Xenopus tropicalis: one gene and its partners. The protein of the gene in region 5 purifies or fractionates together with the protein of the main gene of each other region. This does not show direct contact. Links are inferred from orthologs where the notes say so. Each region holds a gene or a part of one and is shown on either strand. Other genes may lie near its edges.

Evidence for each region. The genes of interacting proteins can lie anywhere in the genome.
Region 1: the proteins of sf3a3 (region 5) and phf5a purify together in Homo sapiens (affinity purification with mass spectrometry; 3 studies listed by BioGRID and IntAct, with this or other methods). This does not show direct contact. The link is inferred for Xenopus tropicalis from reciprocal best matches to the Homo sapiens genes SF3A3 and PHF5A.
Region 2: the proteins of sf3a3 (region 5) and snrpd2 fractionate together in Homo sapiens (co-fractionation; 3 studies listed by BioGRID and IntAct, with this or other methods). This does not show direct contact. The link is inferred for Xenopus tropicalis from reciprocal best matches to the Homo sapiens genes SF3A3 and SNRPD2.
Region 3: the proteins of sf3a3 (region 5) and rbm17 purify together in Homo sapiens (affinity purification with mass spectrometry; 4 studies listed by BioGRID and IntAct, counting the BioPlex papers as one, with this or other methods). This does not show direct contact. The link is inferred for Xenopus tropicalis from reciprocal best matches to the Homo sapiens genes SF3A3 and RBM17.
Region 4: the proteins of sf3a3 (region 5) and snrpb2 purify together in Homo sapiens (affinity purification with mass spectrometry; 6 studies listed by BioGRID and IntAct, with this or other methods). This does not show direct contact. The link is inferred for Xenopus tropicalis from reciprocal best matches to the Homo sapiens genes SF3A3 and SNRPB2.
Region 6: the proteins of sf3a3 (region 5) and snrpd1 fractionate together in Homo sapiens (co-fractionation; 3 studies listed by BioGRID and IntAct, with this or other methods). This does not show direct contact. The link is inferred for Xenopus tropicalis from reciprocal best matches to the Homo sapiens genes SF3A3 and SNRPD1.

The regions. Positions count from the first base shown.
Region 1 is NC_030680.2:120,350,708-120,355,682, forward strand, and holds the start of phf5a (PHD finger-like domain-containing protein 5A), read left to right. Parts: upstream 1-1,922; 5' UTR 1,923-2,056; coding exon 2,057-2,108; intron 2,109-4,101; coding exon 4,102-4,125; intron 4,126-4,975.
Region 2 is NC_030684.2:70,385,955-70,391,016, forward strand, and holds the start of snrpd2 (small nuclear ribonucleoprotein Sm D2), read right to left. Parts: upstream 3,054-5,062; 5' UTR 2,983-3,053; coding exon 2,981-2,982; intron 8-2,980; coding exon 1-7. UniProt on the Homo sapiens protein: Plays a role in pre-mRNA splicing as a core component of the spliceosomal U1, U2, U4 and U5 small nuclear ribonucleoproteins (snRNPs), the building blocks of the spliceosome.
Region 3 is NC_030679.2:84,315,884-84,320,897, reverse strand, and holds the start of rbm17 (splicing factor 45), read left to right. Parts: upstream 1-1,961; 5' UTR 1,962-2,048; exon of another isoform or gene 2,049-2,092; intron 2,093-4,420; 5' UTR 4,421-4,434; coding exon 4,435-4,557; intron 4,558-5,014. UniProt on the Homo sapiens protein: Splice factor that binds to the single-stranded 3'AG at the exon/intron border and promotes its utilization in the second catalytic step. Involved in the regulation of alternative splicing and the utilization of cryptic splice sites.
Region 4 is NC_030681.2:29,851,517-29,856,664, reverse strand, and holds the start of snrpb2 (U2 small nuclear ribonucleoprotein B''), read right to left. Parts: upstream 3,054-5,148; 5' UTR 3,015-3,053; intron 3,013-3,014; exon of another isoform or gene 2,763-3,012; intron 1,134-2,762; 5' UTR 1,115-1,133; coding exon 1,051-1,114; intron 298-1,050; coding exon 125-297; intron 1-124. UniProt on the Homo sapiens protein: Involved in pre-mRNA splicing as component of the spliceosome. Associated with sn-RNP U2, where it contributes to the binding of stem loop IV of U2 snRNA.
Region 5 is NC_030678.2:83,832,106-83,837,011, forward strand, and holds the start of sf3a3 (splicing factor 3A subunit 3), read right to left. Parts: upstream 3,470-4,906; 5' UTR 3,463-3,469; coding exon 3,367-3,462; intron 2,282-3,366; coding exon 2,234-2,281; intron 2,142-2,233; coding exon 2,089-2,141; intron 842-2,088; coding exon 736-841; intron 1-735. UniProt on the Homo sapiens protein: Component of the 17S U2 SnRNP complex of the spliceosome, a large ribonucleoprotein complex that removes introns from transcribed pre-mRNAs.
Region 6 is NC_030682.2:65,069,784-65,074,701, forward strand, and holds the start of snrpd1 (small nuclear ribonucleoprotein Sm D1), read right to left. Parts: upstream 3,054-4,918; 5' UTR 2,611-3,053; coding exon 2,597-2,610; intron 2,381-2,596; coding exon 2,304-2,380; intron 1-2,303. UniProt on the Homo sapiens protein: Plays a role in pre-mRNA splicing as a core component of the spliceosomal U1, U2, U4 and U5 small nuclear ribonucleoproteins (snRNPs), the building blocks of the spliceosome.

The DNA.
Region 1 (4,975 bases), on a different chromosome or scaffold from region 5:
TTGGAGCTGCAGAGTGCCATTGAGCCCTATGGGAGACTTTCCTTGGGCCAGGTTGGAGCTGCAGAGTGCCATTGAGCCCTATGGAAGACTTTCCTTGGGCCAGGTTGGAGCTGCAGAGTGCCATTGAGCCCTATGGGAGACTTTCCTTGGGCCAGGTTGGAGCTGCAGAGTGCCATTGAGCCCTATGGAAGACTTTCCTTGGGCCAGGTTGGAGCTGCAGAGTGCCATTGAGCCCTATGGGAGACTTTCCTTGGGCCAGATTGGAGCTGCAGAGTGCCATTGAGCCCTATGGGAGACTTTCCTTGGGCCAGGTTGGAGCTGCAGAGTGCCATTGAGCCCTATGGGAGACTTTCCTTGGGCCGGGTTGGAGCTGCAGAGTGCCATTGAGCCCTATGGGAGACTTTCCTTGGGCCGGGTTGGAGCTGCAGAGTGCCATTGAGCCCTATGGGAGACTTTCCTTGGGCCAGGTTGGAGCTGCAGAGTGCCATTGAGCCCTATGGGAGACTTTCCTTGGCCGGGTTGGAGCTGCAGAGTGCCATTGAGCCCTATGGGAGACTTTCCTTGGGCCAGGTTGGAGCTGCAGAGTGCCATTGAGCCCTATGGGAGACTTTCCTTGGGCCAGGTTGGAGCTGCAGAGTGCCATTGAGCCCTATGGGAGACTTGCCTTGGGCCAGGTTGGAGCTGCAGAGTGCCATTGAGCCCTATGGGAGACTTTCCTTGGGCCAGGTTGGAGCTGCAGAGTGCCATTGAGCCCTATGGGAGACTTGCCTTGGGCCAGGTTGGAGCTGCAGAGTGCCATTGAGCCCTATGGGAGACTTTCCTTGGGCCAGGTTGGAGCTGCAGAGTGCCATTGAGCCCTATGGGAGACTTTCCTTGGGCCAGGTTGGAGCTGCAGAGTGCCATTGAGCCCTATGGGAGACTTTCCTTGGGCCAGGTTGGAGCTGCAGAGTGCCATTGAGCCCTATGGGAGACTTTCCTTGGGCCAGGTTGGAGCTGCAGAGTGCCATTGAGCCCTATGGGAGACTTTCCTTGGGCCAGGTTGGAGCTGCAGAGTGCTATTGAGCCCTATGGGAGACTTTCCTTGGGCTGGGTTGGAGCTGCAGAGTGCCATTGAGCCCTATGGGAGACTTTCCTTGGGCCGGGTTGGAGCTGCAGAGTGCCATTGAGTCCTATGGGAGACTTTCCTTGGGCCGGGTTGGAGCTGCAGAGTGCCATTGAGCCCTATGGGAGACTTTCCTTGGGCCAGGTTGGAGCTGCAGAGTGCCATTGAGCCCTATGGGAGACTTTCCTTGGGCCGGGTTGGAGCTGCAGAGTGCCATTGAGCCCTATGGGAGACTTTCCTTGGGCCAGGTTGGAGCTGCAGAGTGCCATTGAGCCCTATGGGAGACTTTCCTTGGGCCGGGTTGGAGCTGCAGAGTGCCATTGAGCCCTATGGGAGACTTTCCTTGGGCCAGGTTGGAGCTGCAGAGTGCCATTGAGTCCTATGGGAGGCTTCCAAAATCATGCACAGAAGGATCAAAGTCAGAAAGATTTTCCCACATTTTACGACTGTTCAAATATAAATATATATATCGTAAAGATCCGATTTTATTATATTCTTAAATACAAATTTTTCGTACTTCAAAAAGCATGATACAAAAAAACGTATTTGATACGATTTTTTTTGTATCATGCTTTTTAAACGTATGAACATCGTACTTCGATAAATCTGCCCCATAGAATATATTTTAATTGCATTTTCTTTATTGTACTTTATTTTTGGCAAAGTATGTTTAGCTGTAGACTGCCCCTTTAAAGGAAACAGTACTATGGGGCCGAAAAAACGCAAATCTTTTATAAAGCGAAACGCCTATTAACAGGATATCCGGTGTAAAAGTTCATCGCACAAGAAGGAAGAGAAGCGTCTAAGCGATTCTTTAACCAATTGGAACCCACAAGCTAAGTTTCCTAGGCGTAACAGCAAGGAAATGACGTAAAGTCCATGGGCGAGAAAGAGGCTTGGAACACAGAACTGGAGTGAACGCGCGGCCGGCGAAGGAAAGGAATTTAAACAGACATGGCGAAGCATCATCCAGATTTGATTTTTTGCAGAAAACAGGCGGGCGTGGGTGAGTTGCGCTGGGTAATGTGTTCGGTGTAACGGTGTAAAACTGAGGACAGAAAACTCTCCTCTCGTAGGCATTATAGATTGGCCGTTTCTATTGATTGCCTTTCTAAATCATTCGGATAGCACGTTCGGTACTTGTGTATACTCTCCTTGTATGCGTATGTAACAGGTATATGTGTTCCCTCACAGGGCTTCATTAACCCTCTTTTATTTGTTATCCACAATACTTCAGTTTTATAATTGTTATGTATATTTATGTTTCAGATTGTAGTTTGAGAGGTGGAGCTTGAACCTGATCTAGTTATACGCTGAATGCTAACTCCTTGATTATTGCAATTCTACTAAAGCACAATCTGACTTTCCTATTTAAACTCATGCAACAGAACTTGTCCTATATTTGCAGAAATCTGCAGAGAAACCTAACTTCTTATTTAAGGGAAATGTTGATTATTATAATTACAGAGGTGATCTGCACAGTAATGTTACTATTGAAGTGCTTTCCAACATGAATTTCTTATGTTATGAATGTGAGGGAAAATGACAAAACACAATGTTTAGGTGCATCGAATGGGTGAGATTACTCTGTGACCTGTGTAATGGCAAAAAAACAGCGTGCTATAGAAACACAGATTTGTATTTTTTATTTTTTTTTAATGTTTTCCTTTTTCTAAAGCTACATTGTATTTAACATAACAGATAATGAATTCTAAAGCTTAGGGCTTTCATTGTTGTGGACCTCCTGGTAATCTGATACTATACATGCAATGATACGTCGGTACATACAATACTGAAACAGTTCCAGCCAATACCATTTGAGGTTAATTAATGCCTTACTGAATTTATAAATTAATTTCATGTTTGTACTGGCAAGTTGTTGGAGCTAGTAAAGCTAGTCTTTACTACAGCTTTCAAAGGACATGTAAACCATTTATCTTCCTACCACGTATATAAGTTGGCACATACCCCCCCCCCCAACCAAACTTTACCATTTGTACTGCATATAACCCCTCTGTTTGCCAAAACCATCACATTTTCCTAAAGCAAATAGCAGCTTTACCCGGTGGCCATATTCTCTCTCGCACATCTTTAGTGACATTAAAGGAGAAAAAAATGTTAGGCAGCCCCACGTGGCTTTAATCGCTTACTTTTTACCCTGTGTGGTGCCCCTGTTAGGAGAAAACCGCACCAGCACTGGGTAGCTGTGAGCAAGTGTCTCCTCTTCCTTCTCATCAAAATCCCTGGGCCGGTGCATGTGCAGTAGAGTGAAAAGCCGACTTTTTTGTTAAAGTTTGGCTTTTCACTCTACTGCGCAAGTGCGCAAAGAAAGAAGAGGAGACCACACTCGCAGCTACCCCAGGCTGGTGCGTTTTTCTCCTAACAGGGGCACCAGCCCGGGGTAAAAGGAAAGCAATTAAAGTCACTTGGGGGTGCCTAACGTTTTGACACCCCCAAGTGACTTAGCCTTTCCTTTTCCTTTAACATCTGTAAATTGCACATATTAAAGTTACTTTAACAAGAAGTCCTGCTTGGATTGTGCCCTGTAACCGTAAACTGAGCTCCAGCAGATTACACAGCGAGAGCAGCGTTTCTAGGGAAACCAGCAGTGATCTCTTCATTGGCTGCTAGACTGGAGGCTGTGTTTGGTAACCTGAGTTAAGAAGAACTGAGCATGCTCGTTAGCCACCAGCCGAAGTCAATTCATAAGGGATGGGGCAGAGCGGGTTAGAGGAGGAAAAGAAATCCTAAGTGATTAAGGGGATACTGCAGCCTTTCTATTAACCGTTTGAACAACAGGAGTGGCAGGTATTTAAAGATTTCAATGAGGCTGTTCACTGATTACATTTTTGTTTGTTTTACATGTCCTTTAAAGCATTTTAGATATTTAAGATATGTGTACAACATGATGACCACTGTTTAATATATATATATATATATATATATATATATATATATATATATATATAAACACTTACATTTATAATTTTCTATTGCAGCTATTGGAAGACTCTGTGAAAAATGTGAGTATATATAATTCTTAAACTTTTAAAATATAAATTGCATTTGTTCATATGCAAAAAATGTTTCACCTTTGTCTTCTTTGTGCAACTGATTATTTCTCAACAAGCAATGGTTTTTAAGTGTTGCTGCCAGTCCTATATCTGATATCTCTGATATATCTGATTATATATTCTATATTCAGCAGTTGTATTACATTAGACATTATTAAAAAAATGACATTGCTTAACATCTGCTGAGTGGGGAAAATCAAGAATTTACAGTCTGTTTAAAAGTGTGTGTAGTTGTGGGGTGCATGTAAGGTTAGACTTAAGGTCCTCATACACCATAAGATCCGCTCGCTTGGCGATGTCGCCAAGCGAGCGGATCTTCTCCCGATATCCCCCACCTATGGGTGGGCGATATCGGGAGAATCCAGGGTAATTCGATCCCTGGGGCCAAATGATCGAATTATAACAGCAGGTATAGGAAAAGTCGGTCCGGGGACTGCATCAATGAGCCGATGCGGTCCACGATCCAACTAGATTTTCTAACCTGCCCCATCGAGATCTGGCCAATTTGAGGCCAGATATCGGTCGGGCAGGCCTGTTGGGAGTGCGCTTACACGGGCCAATTAGCTGCTGAATCGGCCCAAGGGACTGATATCGGCAGCTACTATCGGCCCGTGTATGGGGACCTTTAGTCTTTCATTACCTATATATCACAGCATGGTATGGGGTGCAAATCATTGCCTTTTTAAATTATCAAACAGGATGGCTGCAAATCAAGAGTGCAACAGTTCTGGACTAAAAGTCCATTGAGTTGGAGCTGAATAGCCTTGTCTTTTTGAGTTTAATTGATTTGTAACATTTT
Region 2 (5,062 bases), on a different chromosome or scaffold from region 5:
GAGACTCCTGAAGAGATTTAGAATCAGTGTGAGATGGCATTAAATTATTAAACCTTTTAATTACAAACAATGGTGTCAGTTAACAAAATCACAATATGCGCTGTCCAACTCTTAGTTTTGTGTATAAGTGCAGGGAATTATTTGGCAATATGTTATTAACATGGATCTATAAAGTGTCAACATATTTATTGGCACTGTGCAATAAAAGGGTGTATACATACAGATTATTATAACGCGCTGATACATTCTGCAGCTCTTTAGAGAGATTATAAACCATTCATGTCACTATTAGCCCCACCACAGTTTAGATTTCATTAACATACTGGTCTATGCAAGAATTGGGAATATATACAGTGGTGTGAAAAACTATTTGCCCCCTTCCTGATTTCTTATTCTTTTGCATGTTTGTCACACAAAATGTTTCTGATCATCAAACACATTTAACTATTAGTCAAAGATAACACAAGTAAACACAAAATGCAGTTTTTAAATGAGGGTTTTTATTATTTAGGGAGAAAAAAAATCCAAACCTACATGGCCCTGTGTGAAAAAGTAATTGCCCCCTGAACCTAATAACTGGTTGGGCCACCCTTAGCAGCAATAACTGCAATTGAGCGTTTGCGATAACTTGCAACGAGTCTTTTACAGCGCTCTGGAGGAATTTTGGCCCACTCATCTTTGCAGAATTGTTGTAATTCAGCTTTATTTGAGGGTTTTCTAGCATGAACCGCCTTTTTAAGGTCATGCCACAACATCTCAATAGGATTCAGGTCAGGACTTTGACTAGGCCACTCCAAAGTCTTCATTTTGTTTTTCTTCAGCCATTCAGAGGTGGATTTGCTGGTGTGTTTTGGGTCATTGTCCTGCTGCAGCACCCAAGATCGCTTCAGTTTGAGTTGACGAACAGATGACCGGACATTCTCCTTCAGGATTTTTTGGTAGACAGTAGAATTCATGGTTCCATCTATCACAGCAAGCCTTCCAGGTCCTGAAGCAGCAAAACAACCCCAGACCATCACACTACCACCACCATATTTTACGGTTGGTATGATGTTCTTTTTCTGAAATGCTGTGTTACTTTTACGCCAGATGTAACGGGACATGCACCTTCCAAAAAGTTCAACTTTTGTCTCGTCGGTCCACAAGGTATTTTCCCAAAAGTCTTGGCAATCATTGAGATGTTTTTTAGCAAAATTGAGACGAGCTTTAATGTTCTTTTTGCTTAAAAGTGGTTTGCGCCTTGGAAATCTGCCTGCAGGCCGTTTTTGCCCAGTGTCTTTCTTATGGTGGAGTCGTGAACACTGACCTTAATTGAGGCAAGTGAGGCCTGCAGTTCTTTAGATGTTGTCCTGGAGTCTTTTGTGGCCTCTCGGATGAGTTGTCTCTGCGCTCTTGGGGTAATTTTGGTCGGCCGGCCACTCCTGGGAAGGTTCACCACTGTTCCATGTTTTTGCCATTTGTGGTTCGCTGGAGTCCCAAAGCTTTAGAAATGGCTTTATAACCTTTACCAGACTGATAGATCTCAATTACTTTTGTTCTCATTTGTTCCTGAATTTCTTTGGATCTTGGCACGATGTCTAGCTTTTGAGGTGCTTTTGGTCTACTTCTCTGTGTCAGGTAGCTCCTATTTAAGTGATTTCTTGATTGAAACAGGTGTGGCAGTAATCAGGCCTGGGGGTGACTACAGAAATTGAACTCAGGTGTGATAAACCATAGTTAAGTTATTTTTTAACAAGGGGGGCAATCACTTTTTCACACAGGGCCATGTAGATTTGGAGTTTTTTTTTCTCCCTTAATAACGTAAACCTTCATTTAAAAACTGCATTTTGTGTTCAATTATGTTATCTTTGACTAATAGTTAACGGTTTTGATGAGCAGAAACATTTAAGTGTGACAAACATGCAAAAGAATAAGAAATCAGGAAGGGGGCAAATAGTTTTTCACACCACTGTACTAAATCAGATATAACACTATTTTTCTGACAACAAAACGTCTACTGGTGATTTTTTGTTTAATGGAGAATACAATTTTATTAAAAATGGGTTACCCTATTAACTGTCCATTTTGGTACGATTTTAATTACTAGGTTTAATTTTCCCCAAATAATCATGTTTAAAGCTGTTTTTACCCATCGCTATCTACTTGCTGCCTCCATGTTTTTAAAGGAGTGCCCCATAGTCAAAAACATTACTGAGCATGTGTGAAGTCCCACCCCTTATTGCTAGAGCAATTAAGCCTTAATAAACTAACAAAAAAGTCTGGGCTGAATGTGTTAAAAGGCATATTTTTCAGTCATATGCATTTTTTAAACACAAATTAGTGTTTAAGTTGACCACACAGATCTCTATAATCGTGCAAGCACATAAAGCTGCAGAATATTTCCTTTGTAGAAACTTGTCATGTGGGTCCAACCAGGAAAGATATGGAATTGATTAGAAATTGATTGAAAACATTTAGAACCATTGAAAATGTTTAAATCGTGTATACTGAATAGTTGCTTAGTATTAAAAGACACATATCGGATTTGAATTGGGCTAATAGAACCCGCACTTAGGTTGGGGGAAACAGTACCATTTTGTCCAAAAAAATGCTCATAGCGATGTGCCACCCACACCCGGATGATGGAGAACTTGCTGCAGGTAGCCATGTTATTAACATGCCTGTATATAGTGAGCAAGTGTCACATGCAATTGCATAATGAGAAAACCCGGGGAGCTGTTTATACACACGACCTGGTGCTGGTAGCCTGCAAGGGAAGCTTTTTGGCACTGCCATCTCTGCCACAGTAATTAAATCACAGAACTACACAGCATTTTCTAAGTGCAGGCAAGTTCCGGCTAGTACAATCGCATGCTCTGCTACATAGAGGCATTCGTTCTAAGCGTCAATCAGCTAAACTTAAGTAGATACAAAAGGCTAGTTTTTTTCCTTATTTTTAAGTATTTAAAGCTGGGCTGAAGATATTCCACCAGTTACTCACATCTTTCTTTTTGTCTTTCCTTTCCCTTCTCACGTTTTCCCGGCGTGTAGAACGCTTCCTTTGAAGGGCCACTTCCGCTTCCGGGCCACTTTAGCGGCTAGTTCCTGCTTGATTTGGTTAAGCCTGTAGAAACGTGCCCACGTGATCGACACGAAACAAGTTCCCTCCAGTTTGCTACGCAGAGGGGCAGCGGCGTAATCTGACAGAGAAAAGGCGGGGTGGATTAGTTAACAAAGAGGGCGCATCTAGTTCCTAGAGTGGTTATAGGACAAGGCAAATCTTATTCCAATATTGTTCCAGTATGTAAGGCAACGCTCTGTGCTGGGAATTCAGTCGCTAAAGAGCGCAATAAGAACAGTTCCATGTTTCATTTTGACCATGTTTTCTCAGATTGTGCAATTGGAGGGATATACCAGTAGGTGGCGCAATTGTTACATAATAATTATAATAGACGCTTATAACATGCTTAATAACTTTGAAACTGAAAACAAATCTGAATTGCAAAAGCATTTGGAAGACCGACCAGAAAATGTGTACACTTTTTAGTGTCCTATTGTGTAAAATAACTGAATGGATAGCTTTACTGCGTAGCAGATTTAAAGGTGTTCTTCACCTTTGAATTAACTTTTAGTATGATATAGAGCAGTGTTCCCCAAACAGTAGCTTGCGAGCAACATGTTGCTCTCCAACCCCTTGGATGTTGCTCCCAGTGGCCTCAAACCAGGTGCTCATTTTTGAATTTCTGGTAAAGGAGGCATGTTTTGCAGCCATAAAAAACAAGTATAATGCCAAACAGAACCTTCTGTAGGCTGCCAGTCCACATGGGGGCTATCAAATAGCCAATGATAGCTCTCATTGGCACCTCCAGGAACCTTTTTCATGCTTGTGTTGCTCCCAAACACTTTTTCCACTTGAATGTGGCTCACAGGTATGAAAGGTTGGGGATCCCTGATGTAGAGTGTAATATTCTGAGACAATTTGCAATTGGTCTTAATTTTTTATTTGTAGTATTTTTTTTAGTTCTTTCACTTTTTGTTCATCAGCTATCTTAGAGCTAGAGTCCAGATTACCTTAGCGACCAGGTAGCAATTTGAATGAAAGGGTGGTAAATAAATAGGAGAGGACCTGAATAGAAAAACAAGTTATAAAAAGTAACAATAACAATAAAACTGTATGCTCACCAAGCAATAGTTTTTTGGCTGCTGGGGTCAGTGACCCCTATTTGAAAGCTGGAAAGAGTTAGAAGAAAATAAAAAAATGATTCAAAACTATAAGAAATAATGAATAGGAATAGGCAATTCTATAACACACTAAAAGTTAAAGGAACAGTAACACCAAAAAATGAAAGTGTATAAAAATAATTAATATATTATGTACTATTGCTCTGCACTGGTAAAAGTTGTGTGTTTTCTTCATAAACACTACTACAGTTTATATAAATACCCTGCTGTGTAGCCATGGGGGCAGCCATTTAAATTGAAAAAAGGAGAAAAGGCACAGGTTACTAAGCAGATAACAGATAAGTAGCAGATTCCCATTGTATTCTACACAGTTTATCTGGTATCTTCTTATGTAACCTGTGCCTTTTCTCCTTTTTTCAATTTAAATGGCTGCCCCCATGGCTACACAACAGCTATTTCTATTAACTACAGTAGTCTTTCTGAAGCAAACACACAACTTTTACCAGTGCAGGGCAACAGTACATTATATTTTAATTATTTTAAAACATTTTTATTTTTTAGTGTTACTGTTCCTTTAACTTAAAGGTGAACCACCCCTTAAAGGGTTTGGCAGTGATTTACTACAAAAGTTAACCATTTGGGAGTTTATAGGTTCTCTCTGTTTGCTTGGATTTCTGCCCTATTCTCCAAAACACGCTGACACCTTAATTGGCTTCTGGTTATACTGCCATACTTCTAGCAATAAAACAAATCATTTCTTTATTGGGACATCAGAAAGGAATAGCAATCAGGAAAAGACTATTGCGCTTTTTCTTTTTTAGTCTGTTATTGCATTTTGTTTCAGTAAATCTTTGTAAAGTCTTTATTAACAGTGTGGTTGGAGAGATGGATCCTACATATG
Region 3 (5,014 bases), on a different chromosome or scaffold from region 5:
ACAATATCTGCCATATACATAGTTAACAAAAATGTGCAACTGAAGAGATATATTCTTCTGAACAGACCGGGTTGCGGGGGGGGGGGGGGGGGGGGGTGGGGGGTGGCAGTGACCCCTGTAAACATTACAGTTGCTTTTTGACTTTCTTATATGATATCACACATAGTACTGGCAGCAGACTTAACCCCTATTGACTGTCTTCTCTCAGTCTGACTTTGCTTCCTGTGCTGTGTCAGAGTGCTGCAAATCCAACAAAGGACACATCAACCCCAAAAATAATTGTTTGCCTAATAAAAGAAAACACAATTCTAAGCAACTTTCCAATATCAATTTATTATAAATTATTAGTGCTTTAAAAGTTATTTGTAAATGTTATTGCTATAGAATGAAGCATTTGCTGAACTCCTGGTTGTTACTTTTTAAACAATATTGCAAGGGCCAGTGTCCTCCAGCAAGCAGGTCTGTAAAATCTTCTGGCATTTGTTACATTGTTTCAAGCTCCAGAGCCACCAGGGCAGAGAATAGAACGGACAGGCAGACACTGTTTTTCATAGCAGTTATATATACAAATTACTAAAAAACCATTACATATATATAATGAATGTATATTGCAAAGTTGCTTAGAACTACTTTTTATTTTATTAGGCAAAAAAATTATTTTTGGGTTTGACATGTCCTTTACATCCAAAACTCCATTATTGCAGAATTTCTTTCCCTTATGTGATAGACACAGAACCATATACCTGAGAATCCTGAAGTGGTCTTTCTATGCTCTTACCTCCTTTCTCATATTTCATAGCATCTGCAGAAGACATTAAAGGAACAGTAACACCAAAAAATGAAAGTGTTTTAAAGTAATTGAAATATAACGTACTGTTGCCCTGCAATGGTAAAACTGGGGTGTTTGCTTCAGGAACACTACTATAGTTTATATAAATAAGCTGCTGTGTAGCCATGGGGGCAGCCATTCAAGCTGGAAAAAAGGAGAGAAGGCACAGGTTACATAGCAGATAACAGATAAAACATCATTGTATTCTACAGGGTTTATCTGTTAGCTGCTATATAACCTGTGCCTTTTCTTCTTTTGAATGGCTGCCCCCATGGCTACACACCAGGATTTATATAAACTCTAGTAATGTTTCTGAAGCAAACACAAAACTTTTACCAGTGCAGGGCAACAGTACATTACAGTTTAATTTCTTTAAAATATATACATTTTTTGGTGTTACTGTTCCTTTAATTCAGTACACAGATATCCATTCTATTACACATTGTGCAAAATAGTTCAACTCTAACATGGGCTAAAGTATTTAGATATAAAAGAGTATACTTTCTATATGATATTTGACAACCACACTCTGTAACCACTGGAGCCCAGATACGGCTTCCTTTAAAACAGCGGTTCTCAACCTGTGGGTCACAAATTTCCGATGGTCTTAGGAATACTTTTATGGTTATTGGTCACCACAACATGGGGAACTGCATTAAAGGGGCGTGGCATTAGGAAGGTTAAGAACCACTGCTTTACAACCTTCCATCCTAGTCACTATATATATTTGGGATTTTTTTTTCTTCTTTCCCACCTGGCTAAACGCTTGCCATACCTTTAGAAAGGTTATTGCATTCTTTTATTCTAAAGCTTGGATACTTTTCTCTAGCCCGCACCCAACCTATGCGAAGTTGTTATTATAGCTCCGCCTACCAATAATAAAACTCAAAAAAAGTCTTCCAGCAGTATATCAAACGATAATAATTTCATAGTTAGCAGCATGTTCCAAACAGCAAAACAAGAAAAAAAAGTTTATTTTCCTTCCCTGACAAAAGTAGCTGCTGCGAGTAGACTACCGCCCACAGCAATTCTAGCAGCCTACGCTCGAACACTACATTAAGACTCACCCCCGCCACGCTTCGCGTCACTTCACTTATGTGCGTGTACTCGGGACGCCATATTCTCGCGACATGAGACTTGTGACGTCATTAGTAGGCGCCTGGCAAAAGCAAAGGAGCTGGATGTTAACGGCGTCACGGGACGTTTAAGCAGTGATACGGTACTGCCGGCTGGGAAAATCGGAACTGTCCCGCTTGTTGGGCGGTACGTTTAAATAACTGGTTGCAGTTCTGTTACACCGCTAGATGTTTGTGCGCGCTTCCTGACCTAATGCATTGTTAAGGTTTTCAGCATTGGCTTTCGCCCTATTTTTATTTGGCAAGTTAGAGCTGCATGATGTTTGTGCGTAATTGCCGAGACATTGCACACCCCAAACGGTGTCATCTGAAAAATGTCAGTATTTAAAAATAAATGGTGCTTATCCCAAGAAAAATGTTGGTTCTGCAGTTTAAAGGAGAAGGAAAGGTATAAATCACTAGGGTGCCAAAATATTAGGCAACAACCTTTCCTTAAACCCCGGGCTGGTGCTCCTTTTAGGAGAAAACTGCATCAGTCCTGGGGTAGCAGCCAGAGATTGATCCCCTCCTTCTTCTGTCTTCACGATACATGCGCAGTAGAGTGAAATCTGAACTTTAACATGAAAGTCAGCATTTTTACCCTACTGTGGATGTGCCGGTCCTGGGATTTGGAAGAACGAATACAGACGGAAGAGGATTGCTGTCTTGCAGCTACCCCGGGGCTGGTGCGGTTTTCTTCTAACAGGAACGCAAGCTCATAGTGAAAGGTAAGAGACTACAATCACTGGAGGTGTCTAACATTTTTTGGCACTATAAATAGTAATTTTAGTTCAAAACGGAAGCACACCTGTCAAATTCAACCTTTTGTCTAAATTAAACTTGGCCAACTGCAATCTGGCAAGTCAACTTGTACTAAGGTAATTTAAGTACATTCGTATCAAAAAGTTTGGGAACCCCTCTCAGCCTGCATAATTTACTCCACTTTTAACAAAAAAAGATAACAGTGGTATGTCTTTCATTCCCAGGAACATCTGAGTACTGGGGTGTTTTCTGACCAAAGATTTTTAGTGAAGCAGTATTTAGTTGTATGAAATTAAATCAAATGTGAAAAACTGACTGTGCAAAAAACCAAAAAAAACCACAAAGGTTGTTCAGTATGATGGTTTTTAGGGGAACGCTACAAAAAGCTATCTCAGAGGTTTCAACTGTAAGGAATGTAATCAGGAAATGGAAGGCCATAGGCACAGTTGCTGTAAAACACAGGTCTGGCAGGCCAAGAAAAATACAGGAGTGGCATATGTGGAGGATTGTGAGAATGGTTACAGACAACCCAAAGATCACCTCCAAAGATCTGCAAGAACATCTTGCTGCAGATGTTGTATCTGAACATTGTACATTCTACAATTCAGAGCAACTTGCACAAAGAACATCGTGATGAGAAAGAAGCCCTTTCTGCACTCACGCCACAGACAGAGTCGCATGTTGAAGCAAAAGCTTATTTTGACAAGCCACAGTCATTTTGGAACAAAGTGCTTTGGACTAATGAGACAAAAAATCAGTTATTTGGACATAACAAAAAGTGCTTTGAATGGCAGTGTAACGGTACCTGGTGGTCTAGTGGGGCGATGGGGATGCCCGCCATATTCTCTTAGGCGCGCGTCCATCTCCTTTTTAATGCGCATGCGTGCCTGTCTTCTCCTTTGACATGCACGCATGCTCACTCGCATTTTTCCGCTCGGTGTGTGAGTGAAGTCATTTTGCCGAATATTTAAAACGCTTCCTTGTCTATGTTCATTGCCCAACTTAGGTCTTCTTCATGTAAGTTCCTGGGTGTGTTTCTTGTATTGCTCCGTTCTGACCCTTGCCTGTTCCTGACCATCTTCATATTGCTGCCTGAACTGACCTTTGCCTGTTTTTGACTACTCTTCCGGATTCCGTTTTGGTACTGCGCTGTCTGATTGTTATTGGCCTCGGCCTGACCTCTGGCTATGCTCTTCCTGTAACACGAATCTGGTTCCCTTGCTTGCTCAGAACTCTCTCCTTGGGTCTCTCACTGTAAGACCTGGCGGCATCCGAGTAGTGAAGGGCTCCTCCTGACGTGAAAGGCGGCTGTTAAAGGCAGAACGTGAGCCGTGACCGGACCCTTGGCACCTGTTCTGAGTTTTGGGATACCGATCGTGACAGGCAGAAGAAGAACACCACCACATTCCAAGAAAACACCCGCTACAAGAAAATAGAACATTCTTGTCCAAAGCATTATCCGCTGGCTGCTGCCAGAAGTGTTCTCTGGCCTATGCACCTTACTAATACGATTTTGGCAATGTACACAGCCAAAAGTTCAATACTGTAGTTAACATTGCTTCATGCAGTCTTTTTGTCTGGGTAATACAAGCCTTCAGTGAATGCCTTGTGTAGCCTTGATTGTCCCTTACCTGAGCCATATCACATAGCATGTCATTCAAGAAGTTGCATGCAACCAGAATTATGTATATTAGCCAATATTTTTGTTTTCCAGGTTAATGCAATAAAATGTCTTTATATGATGATCTTGGTGTGGAGACCAGTGACTCAAAAACAGAAGGATGGTCAAAAAACTTCAAGTTATTGCAATCCCAATTGCAAGTTAAAAAGGCAGCTCTTACACAAGCAAAGGTACGTTGATTCTCACTAGATGATCAAATGAAGGTTTTAAGCCAGATTTGGCTGAATCTGGCCATAAAATTTCACTCATTTGCGGAACTTAAAATTGGTGGGCCATATACACGGTCATACAGCCCCTTGCAAAAGAATTATAAACAGACCTGTGCAAGGACTGCATAAATGGTTTGACGCAGAGTGTGGTTTTGAGTGTGGCTGCTCGAGCCATGTCTCTTTGTAGTTTCATCCCAGTATGGAAGATTGTCCTCAGTGGGCTGCTGTATATATTTGTTTGTTTCTGCATGCACACTACAAAGTGGGCCATGAAGAAGGGAAGTAAAACTACTACAATCCTTTCACATTAAACTTGAAGTTGGCACTTAAATAATGTTATTTGGGCATTAATTGTGAATTCGATTCATACTTTTTCTTGCTGATTGAGCCAAATGATAGATGTTGGACTATTTTAACT
Region 4 (5,148 bases), on a different chromosome or scaffold from region 5:
AGTTTTATGCTTAATTATAAAAAAAAATATATATACATCTTTCAGTAAGTTTAGAACAGTTATATAAAGTTTTCTATACAGAGTGAGGTAAATCATAAAAATTCCTGGATGAGGAATAACTTACCATTGGTTTATTATAAAAAGGGAAACCCTGCAACTGCCGCAGAGCATTTGTAGCAGAACTCAGCTCTTTGAAGATTACAAACGCTTGTCCTCTCATTTTCATGGTCTTTAATGCCACAATGTCTACAACATGGCCAAACTGGGAGAATAGCGCATACAATGATCGCTTTAGTTCTGAAAAGAAAAAAAAAAAAAAAAACTTCACAGTATAAGTATAAAAACATGTATGGTTAAATCTCTTGCACGGATTTTGATAAGGTGAAAATAGAATATCAGTATTAGTTATTACATTTATTACTAAAACCAGTGCCATGGGATATTCTGCACAAGAAGCTTTTCTGTGCATATTAGTGATTATACAAATGACTGGGTGCGGCCGTGATTGCACATGTTGCCGACACTCTCTCCTTTCGTATTGCTTGCTGATTGCAGTGGTGCACATTTTAACTGAAGCACCTAGGCAGGCACCATCCTCAATAAAAAAAAAACATCTAAAATGATAAGAAATCGTTACTGATGGCCTTTTTACCTACTTGCTGCCATCAAATGCTAAGCACTGGTGAGCACTAGATCAATAAACAGCAATAATATCTAGGGCAAGAAGCATAATAAATAGCAGAAGAATAGTAGTATATGAAATGGAAAAAGTAGACTTCTGAGCAGATTTTTTTTTAAGTTAGTTTTACACTTTTAAAGCTTGAAGGATATTTAAGTTTGTTTGTTTTTCTTCATTTCTCTGCAGTTTTTACTATTTAGGGGAATACAAAGGATATAGGAGAGTAAAAAATGCCTTCACAGATAACAGCATAAGGAGTTGCAATACCAATGCTGCTGTCTAGATGTAAAGTGTACTCTGCCAGGAAAGACTGTATAGAGTGTAGACTGAGAGTGTATAATATTCAACATTTAAACGCTCCTCACACTTACCCGGTTTTTTTACTTTATCACAGAGGTTGTTGATGTAGACAGTGTGATTTGGCCGAATATCCATGGCTTGTATATTCTAAATACTGAAAGAGATGTTAAAAAAAAAAAAAAGGACCTTAGATATAGAAAAAAAGTACAGTATTACTCAAGGTTCTTTTCTCCTTGGAGATGGACTACTGTGCCACACACACATTTTTACCAGTGAGCCACATCCAAATGTAAAAAGAGCTGGGGAACAACACAAGCATGAAAAAAAAAAAAAAATTCCTTCTGGTGCCAAAAAAAGGCTGTTATTACCTCTTTGGTATTCCTTACGTGGACTGGCAGCCTAAAGGGACTCTGTTGGGCAGTACATCTGGTTTTTATGCAACCAAAACTCCAAGCCAGGAATTCAAAAATAAGCACCTGCTTTGGGGCCATTGGGAGCAACATGTTGCTTATGAGCCACTCATTGGGAATCACTTCCCTAGAGTAAAGCAATAATTTTCAAAAGCCAGGCACACTGTAATATTACCAAAACTAACCCGCCATGATATTGCACATTAGACAAGCCTGCGAACCACATCTGTCAGACCCACTTTCAGATCAGAATATTATTATTGTATATAACATGTGCCATGAAATTCCAACTGAATTCAACCTACATAAATCTATACATAAAACCAAATACATGCTTGTACAGGTATGAGATCTGTTATCTGGAAACCCATTATCCAGTTTATTAAAATAATTCACTATTTGAAAATATACTAAATTGTTCTCTGTTGTAATAAAACAGTACCTTGTACTTGTTCCCAACTAAATTATTTTTTTAGTAGACTTAAGGCATGGAGATCCAAATTATATAAAGACCCCTTATCTGGAAAAGCCCAGGGGTCCCATGCCTGTAATAGTATAATGCATGCTTTTAAATTGAATTTCTTTTTATAGCCTACAATTTCAGCAACACAGATAAGACTATAAGGCATAGCCCGGCATATTTTTCAATAAATATGAAATATACAGACTACTACAAAATAACATCCCATTATTAAAAACATGTAACTGCTGGATTTAGTAGTACAGGTATGGGACCTGTTATCCAGAATGCTCGGGACCTGGGGTTTTCTGGATAAGGGATATTTCCGTAATTTGGATCTCCATCACTTAACTCTGTTAAAAGTCATTTTAATATTGAATAAACCCAATAAGATTTTTTGCCTCCAATAAGGATTAATTATATCTTAGTTGGGATCAAGTACAGGTACTGTTTTATTATTACAGAGAAAAGGGAATCATTTAACCATTAAATAAACCCAATAGGGCTGTTCTGCCCCAATAAGGGGTAATTATATCTTAGTTGGGATCAAGTACAAGGTACTGTTTTATTATTACAGAGAAAAAGGAAATCATTTTATAAAATTAAAATGATTTGCTTATAATGGGGTCTAAGTGAGATGGCCTTTCCGTAATTCAGAACTTTCTGGATAATGGATCCCATACCTGTAGTATTATGATTTAGTCACTGCACTTTTCTCCCATACCCAACAATATACAGGCAAACTAGCCTGCCCCTGTGTATATTAGTGTGTGTATAATACACAATTATAAGCTTTAGTGCAGCTCTTTCCCAGCCATACACTGGCGACCCCCAGTCGCACACAGATCAGGGACAGCTCTATTGATTGGTTGCAATGTATGGAAACTGATTGCAGTTACAAATCAATCAATACCATTAATTACCACACGAAGTTGCCCCTTAACCGAGTTACAGCTACATATAAACCCGCACTACAGGCGCGTTTTATTCCAATAGCAACAGAACGGGCAGGAGTTGGACGTGGCTGCTGGGGAAGTTGTTGCTCATTACCCGCTGCCAGCTTCTCACCAAGCGAAGGAGCGGAACGTATAGAACTATTACCAAAAGAAACCCTCGTACAATGACAAACAAGCCCGGCAATCACCCATACAAGCTCCTTCCTTACCGCTCACACACGCTTCCGTGCGCCTTACGGCTCCAAGCTGGCGTCGCACGTTGATTTCCAGCAAACGCGCATTAGAACAGGAAAGAGACGTACGTCACGGCTCCGAGGTCACTTCGGCCATCTTTCGTAAGGGCAAAACCGCCTTCGCATAATTGATCATAAAGTTATTTTCTTTGACGTTTTGTACATTCCCAGGTTGCGACTAGAGTGTCATATAATAAACAACTGTTTTTGTCTTTCCGCCAAAATTTTAAGCACCTGTGTAATACAGTGGAACGGCGGTATTCATTATTAAATTATGGCAGGGAACGTTAGGGCAATACGTGGGGGTCAGGGCTGTTTTAAATTCATTTGGGAAGCAACAATAGTACAAATTTTACCTCATCTATAGTAACTTATGGCACCATTTCACCTGTATAAAATCAAACATGTATTGCTTGCTCTCTAGGTTACTGCAGCTGGGTAAATGTCCTTTATATTACATCTTGAGAAGAGGTGCACAAAACAAGCACACCAGAGCTGTTAACCAACCCCATGATAATGATCCACTCCATGCCTTTTTGAGTCCTTATTTCATGTTATCATATAGGGGCCCATTCATTTTTTTAGAAAAAAAAATAGCATTTTTCTATAGAACATTTCGGAATGTCCACAATAATTTCGCTCACATTCCACGACTTTTTTGTGATTTGCACTAACTTCGTATTTTTCGCAAAGACTACAACCATTTCGGGATTCATTCAACCTTTGGTATCGTGACTATCTTTTGGCCAGGTTGGAGCTGCAGAGTGCCATTGAGTCTTATGGAAGGCTTCCCAAAATCATGCATTGAAGGTTACAAAGCCAGAAAGGTTTTCACGCCATTTATGAACGTTCGGATCCGAAAATTTTGTGACTTTCGTAATGCAACCACAATATTTTGTTAGATGTGTCAGTGACATTGCACATACTCAGTGGGCTCTGGGCAGCTGTTGAGAAGCAAAGCTTAGGGGTTGTCAGAAATCAGAAAGCAGAAAATAAGGTTCTCCTGTTATTGAAGCTGATGCTACAGGGTTTATTATTAAATTCTGGAGCAAACTGTATTCCTTTCATGTAATAAAAATCTGGTTTAACAACTTATCAGCATTGTATTATGGCTTTTATCAGCATTTGCACCCCACATCTTTGTTAAGCTTTAGTTCTTTTTTGACCCCAATACAAGTGACAATTCTTTTACCAATATCTACTGTATTTTAGAGTCTACTCTAGCTCTAAAAATATATACAGTGTAACTACACAGCACTTTGGAGGGGCCTAGTCCACACTTTAACCCCATACTGATCCCCCACTCACCTGCATACATCCCCCACTCTCCACCACTCACTCTCACGTAGGAGAGCAGCCAGTGAGTGGGGATCTCCTTACACCTAAAGAGAAAGTAGACCATGTGGTCTGGGGCCCTTGTCTCCTGGACCCACCCCTGCAACTGTGGGGTCTGCTTCCTATATATTTACACCACTGGGGGTGCCAGTATAGATTTTGCAATTTAAAAAAGGCTGGAGGGCCTGACCTATAGAGAGATAACAAATGTTGCACATTAAAATTCCTTTGCGCTTTTTAACTACACCCAATCAGTTTTCACTTTAACACCCATTGCATTTTGTAGTTCTGCAATCTCCAGTATGTGTTTGTATCTCCCACAGCGGTCATCTAGATTCAGGGTCCTCACAGCAGGTTTTCTGCCTGATAAATGATATAAAGAAGACCACATGCTGCTGAGATCTCTAATACAACCGTTTTTGCACACACTTGGTGAAGCCCAACATTTTGTTGTGTCCTTCCCCCCCCTTCCCTTACTCAGGTTATTGAGAAGGGGAAAATACCATGCACCACCTGAACTTGGTACAATAATGTTGTATTATACATCTCAGCAGCATATTACTATGTTTATTGGGTATTGTTACTGGTTAGGAGGGTGGCCAGGGGCACCATCATTGAGAACTCAGTTACAATATTTGTAAATGTAGTTGCTGTTAAAAGCAGTATCTATACCTATACATATATATATTTTGCATTGCTAATCCTGACTACATATACAATTTTGTACCACTAAAATAATGCAGCAAGAGTCAGATCTCCTCCAGCCAATACTTTA
Region 5 (4,906 bases):
TGGTGAAGCAAAAAAAAAAAAATAGATTAAAAAAAAGAGGGATGTTATACCGAGAATACACTTTTCAAAACACTAATTTGGCCTAAGTCTGCAATTCAATTCATTCTGCGATGCCAAACTTTGATAATGCTTTCTATCAATTTATTTCACCTTTTTAGGCTATTCTTTAGATTTATTTTCTGTTTATTCTGACACCACTTTCACCTTATTTTCTGTTTCTACAAATCACAAGTCAACCAAACAGATCTTACATTACTTGCAGCTGTAAAAGAACATGACTTATAGAACTTAAAAATTTTTTACATTCAACCTTGAATACCAGCTTCCAATATTATTAAAATACCACACTATATTAAATTAAGTTTTAGTATGCTGGTTATATTCTGAGACAATTGCTTTTTTTCTTTTTTGCATTATTAAGCTATTTTGTTCAGCATCTCGTGAATTTGGAATTTCAGCAGCAATCTTTTGACTAGGATACAATTTATACTAGCAACCTGGCCATGGTTTGATCAGAAAATCATTTGGAGGGTTCTGAATAGAAACATAAGAAAAAATAAAGCAATAACTTTAAAATTTTAATAACCCCCAAAATTCCTTTTAAAAACTATTTAAAGAAAAAAATGAAGACCAACTAAAAAGTAGCTAAGAATAGGGTTCTCTATAACATAATTTACATATTGCAAGGTTGGTTTCATTATGTGCCAAAATCTGAAACATTTGTTAGAAAGCCACCTCATTTGGATGTTTTCGGTGAAATTCTTTAATTAACTTGAGTCTGTTGTAGAATTCGCCAAACTCATTTGGCCCAGAAATTGCAGTGAGTTCTTCCTTGCGTAATCTATAAAAGAATGGAATAATACTATAAACAAAGTTTGAAATGATCATTACTTTATCTTGCCAAAAGTTATTTAGTTTTTCTGCTATCAAATTGTTTACCTGATATTTTTTGTGTGTTTGGTGGCCATATGATGCTGAGGGCCATTAAAACCTCTACGAGGGTTGCATACAGCCCAAAGCCTCCAGCTGTACAGGTCTGATTTACACTATGATTATGTACACATTGCCTATTAGTGAGCTGTCCATTCATACATGCAGTAGTAAATGAGTGGCTTTGCCAGAAAGTAGCTCCAGTATGAATGTTGCGTTTTTGGAAAAAAAAAGGTACTAAATTTCACCAATGCAGGCACACATAGCAGCCAATCCGATTGTTATTTTTATTCTCTAGCGGATTGTTCAAATTGATTCGTTGATCTGGGCAACTACTGTGGTGCAATTTAACACCTAAGTTTGTAACTCTATCATAAAAGATAACGGCCTAACTAAGGAGGAAAATTATCCTTTGTGGGACATTTGCACTGATCCTGAGTATATAATTAAAATCTCTACAATAATATAGGGCAAGACTGCTGTTTTTGCCAAAAAGGTGGTAGCAGTTAGGAATGAGGGGTGTGCTGTGATTTATGTCATTGAAGGTGACAGGGAATAAAGGCACTGTAAAATTACTATACTGATTTCCAATGCCACCAATTACAGTATATTAAATAATTAGGATATACCAACTGAATAAACTGAATGAGGGAAGGGGGTTTAAGAGACTTTAAAGGGTCAGTAATGATGCACTGGTCAAATACATCATGCACTGCACTCAAAAAAAAATATTTGCTTCAGAGGCTTAATATAGTTTAACAACAAGATCCCTTGTAGATAAGCAAGCAGTCATGTAAAATCCGACAAAGCGAACAGGTTGGAATTATTATTTATTTAAATTGACTTACAAGTATGAGCTATTTATAACCTGCATATTCAAAATCTTGTTTTCTTTGAAGCAGTCCATTTTTTTTTGTGTGTTTTTAAGCTTTTTGTGTGCAAAGTCACTTTTAAACAAATCCTTCCCCCTTTTTTGTTCATATGCATATAATACAGATGTATGGCCTGCCCTTAAAAGCTATAGAGAAACCTGCCCAAAGCAGGTTAGCAAATAATGAAGGACTAGTAATTTCTATCCATTGGGATACATAGAAGGTTTAGCCAATTTTTATATACAAAGCTATAATCATTGCTTCAATTAATAAGAAATATTCTTACCCATCTTTATCTTCATATAGATCCCTTAGATTTGAACTCACTTCCATGTATTGCTGTAAAAAAATGTAAAATGTTTCAGTAACTAGTTCACAATGTTATAGTACATAACCCATATAAAAGGTAAACAACAGAGATGAATACTTACATCTAACATAGCTCTGGCTCTGTGATCTGAATTTATTTGTTCCCGTAACTAGAGCAAGAATGAATGACATACATTAAATTGGGGCATGTATGAAAACAATCATTTACAAGTCCTGTGCAACACAAAACTAAGTATAAAACATGTAAACCAATCAAGTGTGAAATACATTTTTTTTTATAATTTACTCTGAAAATAGGAAACTTTCTGTAGCAGTTAAAGAATCAGTAATAACAAATCAAAATCAAAAGGGTTCACTGTCCCGAAGCACTGCTGAAATAAAACATAAAATAAATGCAAGTTTGTACAAAATGATGAGCAATTTAAAGTCATTTTGTGGAACTTTGTTGAAACTTCTTTATTGAAGAGGCACTGGGTGCTCTTTCAAACTATTTTTTATTGACCAAAACTGCTGCACCCTCATATATCTAAAAGGCAGGTCTTACCCACCATGTCACTTCACATCACATAACTTGCTTTCTGGAAGATCTACCATTTTATTTGAGTGTATGTCTGTTGTACTCCAACTATAGGGCTTGGGGGCCAGTTAGGCTTTAATGTGCGTATGTGTATTTAAATTCTCTCCCTTAGAAAATCCTGGAAACTCAGACTGGGTAGTAGTGGAATTTGGGGTGATCACTTATTTACTGACACAGAGATCCCTGGAACTGTGGCTGAATGACTTTAAAAAGATATAACCTTACTAGGTCTGAGGGCCCCGTTGAAAACCACTGCTTGGGGGGGGAGCAATTTAAAAGTTAGGCAGATATCTTATATATCTATATGGCAAACGTACGTCTCCTCACATTTTCCCCTCACATACTAGTGCTGCTGGTTATCGTGCTGCTGGTTATCCTGCTGCTTCCCCGGTGCAGCCTAAAGAGGCGGAAGTTCCATACAGTTCTCTCCTATCAGAACTCTCCTCGCCTGCTTTCCTGACACCCAGCACTCACCTTCCGACACTTATGAGCAAAGAGTGTATCATTAAGCACCACACACTGCTAGAAACTAATAATCTTCGTTCTAAGGACCGAGTCCATTTCATTGCAGAAATGCATAGCATGCCCAGCAAACATACACTCCCCCCATCTCTCGTCTTGTTAGCCCGTTCTCTGCGCAACCTTCATTGGCCCTACCGTGGGTTTTTTAGACATCATCTCTTTGGACATCACATCCATGAGCCTTTCCTTCTCCTCTTGGTAGCGCCGCTGCTGTTCCAAAATCGTCTCCATGTTGGAAAGGCCGCCAGAACGGAAGTGATACGAGAATAACCTTCCCTACAGGCCTTGGTTATGGGAAATAAAGGTTCCGCCCGCCGCTAAAGTGTTCCGGGTGCAGGAAGTGGAGGAGATATAGTGAAACACCATGCTATAATTGACTATGTTGTCGGGGGTGTTAAAGATCTTAGTTTATAGTGTGGGTTTGTACCTAAATAACTAAAATAGAGACGGTCCTCTTTTGTGTGACATGTAATTGCCTATTTATTTCTTGCTAAGCCGTGCGCGGGTTCTTCCAGTTCCAAGATAGGCGATACACGTAGCCAAACTTTTCTGTTCCTGGAGTGATACATGTTTTTTGCTGCAATGAGTTGTAATAGCCATTTTTGAGCAAATACTAGTATAGTCAAGTAAGTTAAATGTCACATGTGGAGACTCGTTATTCTCACGTTTTTACGAATATTTTTCACTTGGATTTTTTCACTTAAGTTTTTCGACTATAAACCATCTAGTAAATTAAACCCCCTATGAAACCCCCCCCCCCCCCCCCCCCCCCGGTTCTGTTTGAACCTGCTGTTTATAACTTAGTAGCTGTTGCAGGCACTACTATGAGAATGTAAGTGTAAATGATGCTGCAAATGTAACCAGCACTCTGTGCTCTCATAGGAGGATTTCTCTTCCTCATCCTGCTGAAAACAACTGGTCAGTAAATCAAGCAGTTGGCCCTAGTTCAGTGTGCATCAGCAAGGAGATTATCAGCATGTCAGCCAAGATGGAGGAATTGGTGCCAGAGTTCCTTGAGTCCCCATGCATTATCATTTCTCAGACTGAGATGCATAGAATAATATAGGTGCTGTGCCTGGAATGGCTGCAGCCCTTCATGCTACTCTTGAGGTGTTAAATAGGATAGAGCCTGTGGGTGATTGCTGGATCTGTGCTCTTCCATCAGTGTCGGACTGAGATGGCAGGGGCCCAATAGAAACCCCTAGACCATGGGCCCACTCTCAAAACTTTTAATTCCTCCCTCAAACTCATTATTATCTTAGTCTTTTTTCTCTACATACTATACTCTATTCTTCCATCTATCAAGCTTCCTTGATCCCATACAGAAATAGGGAATGACCATGAAATAGGCTAAATAGAAGCAAGGGGGCCCACTGACACCTGGGCCCACCGGGAGTTTTCCTGGTATCCTGGCGGGCCAGTCCGACGCTGTCTGCCATTGTCTACTCGTAGCAGTAGATGCTGCTCTTTTACCCTCATAGGACCCTCTCCTACACTAGTGTTTACAGGCAGGTACTGAAGACAAACTGATGTGCATCCCCTCTCCTTGTACCCTTATCTCTTCAGCCAGAGAAAGTATCCTCAGTTTTTCTGTTTAAACTGCTTTGCCATCTGATTTATTTAGATCAACTTTCCCATCTTAGGGCTATATATAAACACAGAGATGAGATTTTGA
Region 6 (4,918 bases), on a different chromosome or scaffold from region 5:
TTATAGCCCCCTACAGTGCTAGGCTGCCAGCACTGGGAGGAAGGTCCTGGTTCAGGCAGCCATGTTGTGGCACTCACATGTGCATAACAAGTGAGTGCCACAAATCGCTGCTTATGCATATGTGTGTGATGTAGGTGGGCAAGTCGCATCCGCAGCTCCTACATTACATGCATGCACATAATAAGTGAGCGGGAGTCTCCCGCATAATGCGCATGCATGCTTAATTAACATGGCCGCCGCACTGGGAGCTCCCTCCTGGTGGGGGGCGGCCTAGTGCAGACAGACTTTAAAAAAAACCCAAAAACTACTGCATCTCCCAACCAGAGTGTGGGCTCTATTAGCCTGCAACTTTGGTGGGGAAGCAATTTTAGCGCGATCGGTGCCCTTTAAGGTAAACGTATGACAAATTAAAAGAACATCTTTGAAAAAGGTTTTGTTGCATTTGGTTGTACCCTATGGTATGATAAAATCTGACAGGTCCCCCTGCCCACAACAGACTGGCCCATTCTATTTGACCAAAATTTTGGTAACTAAAAATAGCTGTTGACTTTCTCCCGGATGAGATGTCTCTGTCAAGTTGTTGTCCCATGTCCAAACAAATTTGTGGTAACATGAAAGAACACAACAGAATAGGTTGGAGATGTGAATAGGCATTGCAAGCAGGGGCAGAATATTTTGTAAACTAAGGGCTGTGGCAGACGGGGAGATTAGTCGCCACTCGACAAATCTCCCCGAAATGCCATCCCACCGGCTAGAATGTAATTCCCGGTGGGACGGCATACATGGCGCAGAAATTGCCGAAGTTCCTTTGCAACTTCGGCAAATCGCCCTGCCGCATATGCCACTGCATCGGCGATTTACATTCTAGTCGGTGGGATGGCATTTTGGGGAGATTAGGTGCCCCTGGTTTAAAAATTAGCACTGAGTACCATAAACTGGGAAGTTGTCCAATGGCTGAACACAACAGTAATCACAGATTAGTATCACTGTTATTTGCAGTTATTGGTGCTTTACTAGGGCATCCAACAAAATTTAAAGGAGGCATATAGGATTAACAAAAATATTCTCTTAGTTCCCTGTTTCAAATGAGGGAGGGGGGCGTGTCCTAACGGTCCCTGCCATAAACACAGTAGGAGGGGGGGTTGCCAATCACAGCCCTGCACTCACACAAAGGAAGGCTTCAGCTCCCTATCAGGTTTGCCTAGATCAGGGATCCCCAACCTTTTTTTATCCGTGAGTCACATTCAAATATAAGAAGACTTGGGGAGCAAAACAGGCATAATACATGTTCCTTTGGTTACTAAATAAGGACTGTTATTGGCTATTTGGTAACCCCTATATGGACTGAAAAACCTACAGGATGTTCTGTTTGGCAGCATATCTGGTTTTTATGCAACCAAAACATGCCTCAAAGCCCATAATTCAAAAATAAGCACCTGTTTTAAAGCCACTGGGAGCAACATCCAAGGGGTTGGAGAGCAACATGTTGCTCACGAACCACTGGCCTAGATGCAGCCTGGGAAAAGAAGGCAGCAGGTAGTAAAACAGGTGGGTGGGGCTAGTGGGTTTTTGGGCGAAAATTTCAATAAACGCTACTTTTCTTAGCACATTCCATCAAAATAAAACTTACTGCACAGAAGCCAAGTCTTAGCAACAAAAGACAGCAGAAGTTATGTAACCTATGCTGCCGGAACTGTATTTTTGAGGTGACACGCATGTGTATATGACAAGACCTACACTCTGTATTCAAAACAGCATGGCTTCACCGACTTACAGAGAAGACACATTGACCAGAACCAGTCCCTGCTCTTTGCACCACAGGGGTTACTAATACACAGCCAATTATGATCAGAGTCAAACCACAATTGTGGGGAAGCTTCCCCTTTTCTACATATTCCCCACCGGACCTACCTCCTACCAATAAATGTTCACCCTGACCCACAGATCCAAATGCTCATAAGTGTGAGACCAATCAGAGGAGCTGGCTGAAGTTGCCATATCCAGCACTGGGGTGCATGCTAGACTTTCAGTAATTCACATTATTTAATGCCAGCTTGCAAATGGTTCCACCTGCCCACTGGGCAATCATGGATGCACACAGCTTATTTATATATTAAGTCTGAGAAAATTCATTATTTCCCACCAGTAACACCTTTGCTAGTAGTATATAAACCAATACACACTGAAGCAAGACAAAATGGTATGTCTCTTTTATAAAGATATTATCAATAAGTATTTCCATTGTGCACATTAAGTACACATAGCAATGTTATGGTATATATTTATGTGCCCCTCTGTATTACCTGTGATCGTGCCATGCACTTGGGTTCCGTTCTTAAGTTCCACTGTGACAGTTTCATGACTTAATTTCATCAAAAACCTATGAGAAAAAAAAACAAAAGCGTTCATGGCCAGCCGCTCGTGATGAACCCATTAGTTACACAGTTTATATTACAACGCAGACTCGCTAATACATTATTATCCGACGGAGCCTTTACTTCCCGCCGTAATCTTCTACTTACACAAAGCTCTCAAACGTAACTCTCAATCCACCACCATCCTCTGTGAAGGAACCCATAACAATCTAAACGCTTACCTAACTAACTTCATGACTTCTTAATACGAACGCGGATCCGACTCCTTCGGCCAGAAAAGGGTTATAGGACTGGCAAAATGAAACGCGAAAATTTACTTTTAGACCCTCCGAATTCTCATTGAGCGAAAGCAACGTTCCAGCGGAAATCGGCACCTACGTCAGATCCGGAAGCGGAAGCCCCAGTCGAGGGCGGAAGTTTTTGTTACATGTGTAATAGAAGATGAAAACGCTAGCCTGTCTCCACGTAGAAAAAGGAGAATTACATTTTCGACTTTTAAAAAGCAATACTATAAGGGGAGGCCTACACTGCAGTTAAGATACTTGCTTAAATAAAATGCACAAAGCGGCGTTCCAGCGAAGCCTTTTATGCTTGTGGATTACTTAAAATTTCGTCTAATACAGCGCAATGCATTTATAAAGAAATACTGTTGTAATAAAAACTTAGCATACATAGCTGAGCTAAAGTCAACTGGTGCATTTAATTCAACAGAAACGCTACAACACCATCGGGGCGGGGCCGAAGTAGAAGAGGGCGTGGTATTGAAGCTAAATTTCATTTTGGATCTAGGTTGGCCATTGGCATTGCATGGCATGAAAATAAGTATTCTCACTATTAAACTTTATTTTTAGGTAAAAGTTAATGTTTCGTTTTCTGAAGACAACATCCCTTTACCTGCTTACCTGCCACTGCATTTTTTTTTTTTTACATGCTTTTGATATGCTGTCTGCAATCCCCATTGTTAGAGACCTTTAGACAACTAGTGCTGAGGTTTGAATCTTCCGTAGGGACCCATAGGGTTAAGCTCCCCTATGGCTTTAAATCCTACCTCTTCTGATTTTGTACTGTTACTGGGCAACAGGGCCGGAACTAGGGGTAGGCAGAAGAGGCAGCTGCCTCGGGCGCAACGATTGGGGGGCGCCAGACAGGAGCCTCTTCTGCCTACCCCTAGTCCTGCTACTTGTCATTGCCCCCACCGCTTGTAATTAGTGGTGGAGGCAATGACCGATTGGATTGCACCCCCCCCCCTTGCGTTTGTTTTGGCGCCATTCGGGGAGAGGGGGAGTGGCCAAATGCCTAAGCACACGCAAGGGGGTGGGGGGTGGCCAACCGGGTTGCCTAGGGCGCCTGGTCAGCTTGGCCCGCCCCTGCTGGGCAAAGTCCCATGTATATAGTTTACACCTTATTGGTTATTTGGGTTGATCACACCCCTTGCAGTCTCATATAGTGTCTAGCAAGGAGATGTGACTTTCTCTTTGGCTGCCTTCTGAATCTCAAGGAACAGCTCCACTGAGCCTGGGACCACTACACCCTTACTCCGCATGGTCTCTTCCACCTAGCGAAGGCCCATTTTGTCTAAGAGAGTCGCATGTAGCCCATGCTCTAAACCTAACACTAGCATGGGTTTTGTCTATATATAGCCAAACAAGCGTTACACTTCACTTCTTGGACCCAATACCCTCACAATGAGTACTACTTAAAGCACTGATCCCCAACCAGTGGCTCAGGAGCAATATGTTGCTCACCAACCCCTTGGATGTTGCTCCCAGTGGCCTCAAAGCAGGTGCTTATTTTTGAATTTCTGGTTAGGAGGCAAGTTTTGGTTGAATAAAAACCAAGTATAATGACAAACAGAGCCTTGTGTAGGCTGCCAGTCCACATAGGGCTACCAATAGCCAATCATAGCTCTCATTTGCCACCCCCAGGATTATTTTTATGCTTGTGTTGCTCCTCAACACTTTTTCCATTTGAATGTATAAAAGGTTGGGGATGTAACCTATAAAGGCTGGAGTGAGCAGATGTCTAACATAACAGCCAGAAACTCTACTTCCTGCCACATGGGATATAACTGTTCAAGTTAGTTTGTGAGCACGCAGGACTGATTGCAAACCAAACGTTATATTTTTTGTACTTCGTGCAGTCTATTTTACTCAGTTTCATTTTTACACTAAATGGTTCCTTTAACAGCTCAGGGAGGATCGGAAGACCCAGAGAGGTACACTGGCCATGGGAACTAAGCCTAACAGAGTATAAAGCTAATACTTTGGCTGTGGCTGAGGCTAACATTAATTGCAGGGCAGCAGTAAAGAAAGACTGTACCATATGAAAGCACCATTTGGTACCCCGCAAAATGGCTTACCATATGTCTTGAGTTAAATATAAAAAAAAACATTTGTTCTTTAAAAAGTAGAGGATTATGCCTGAATAGTAAAACAGCATGCTCATCCATGACAGTATCCCTTTAACCCTTTCACTGCCAGCCGTTTTGGACAAAGTGGAACTTCTACTGCCAGTTTTTGAACGTTTTGCACTGTTTCACTTTA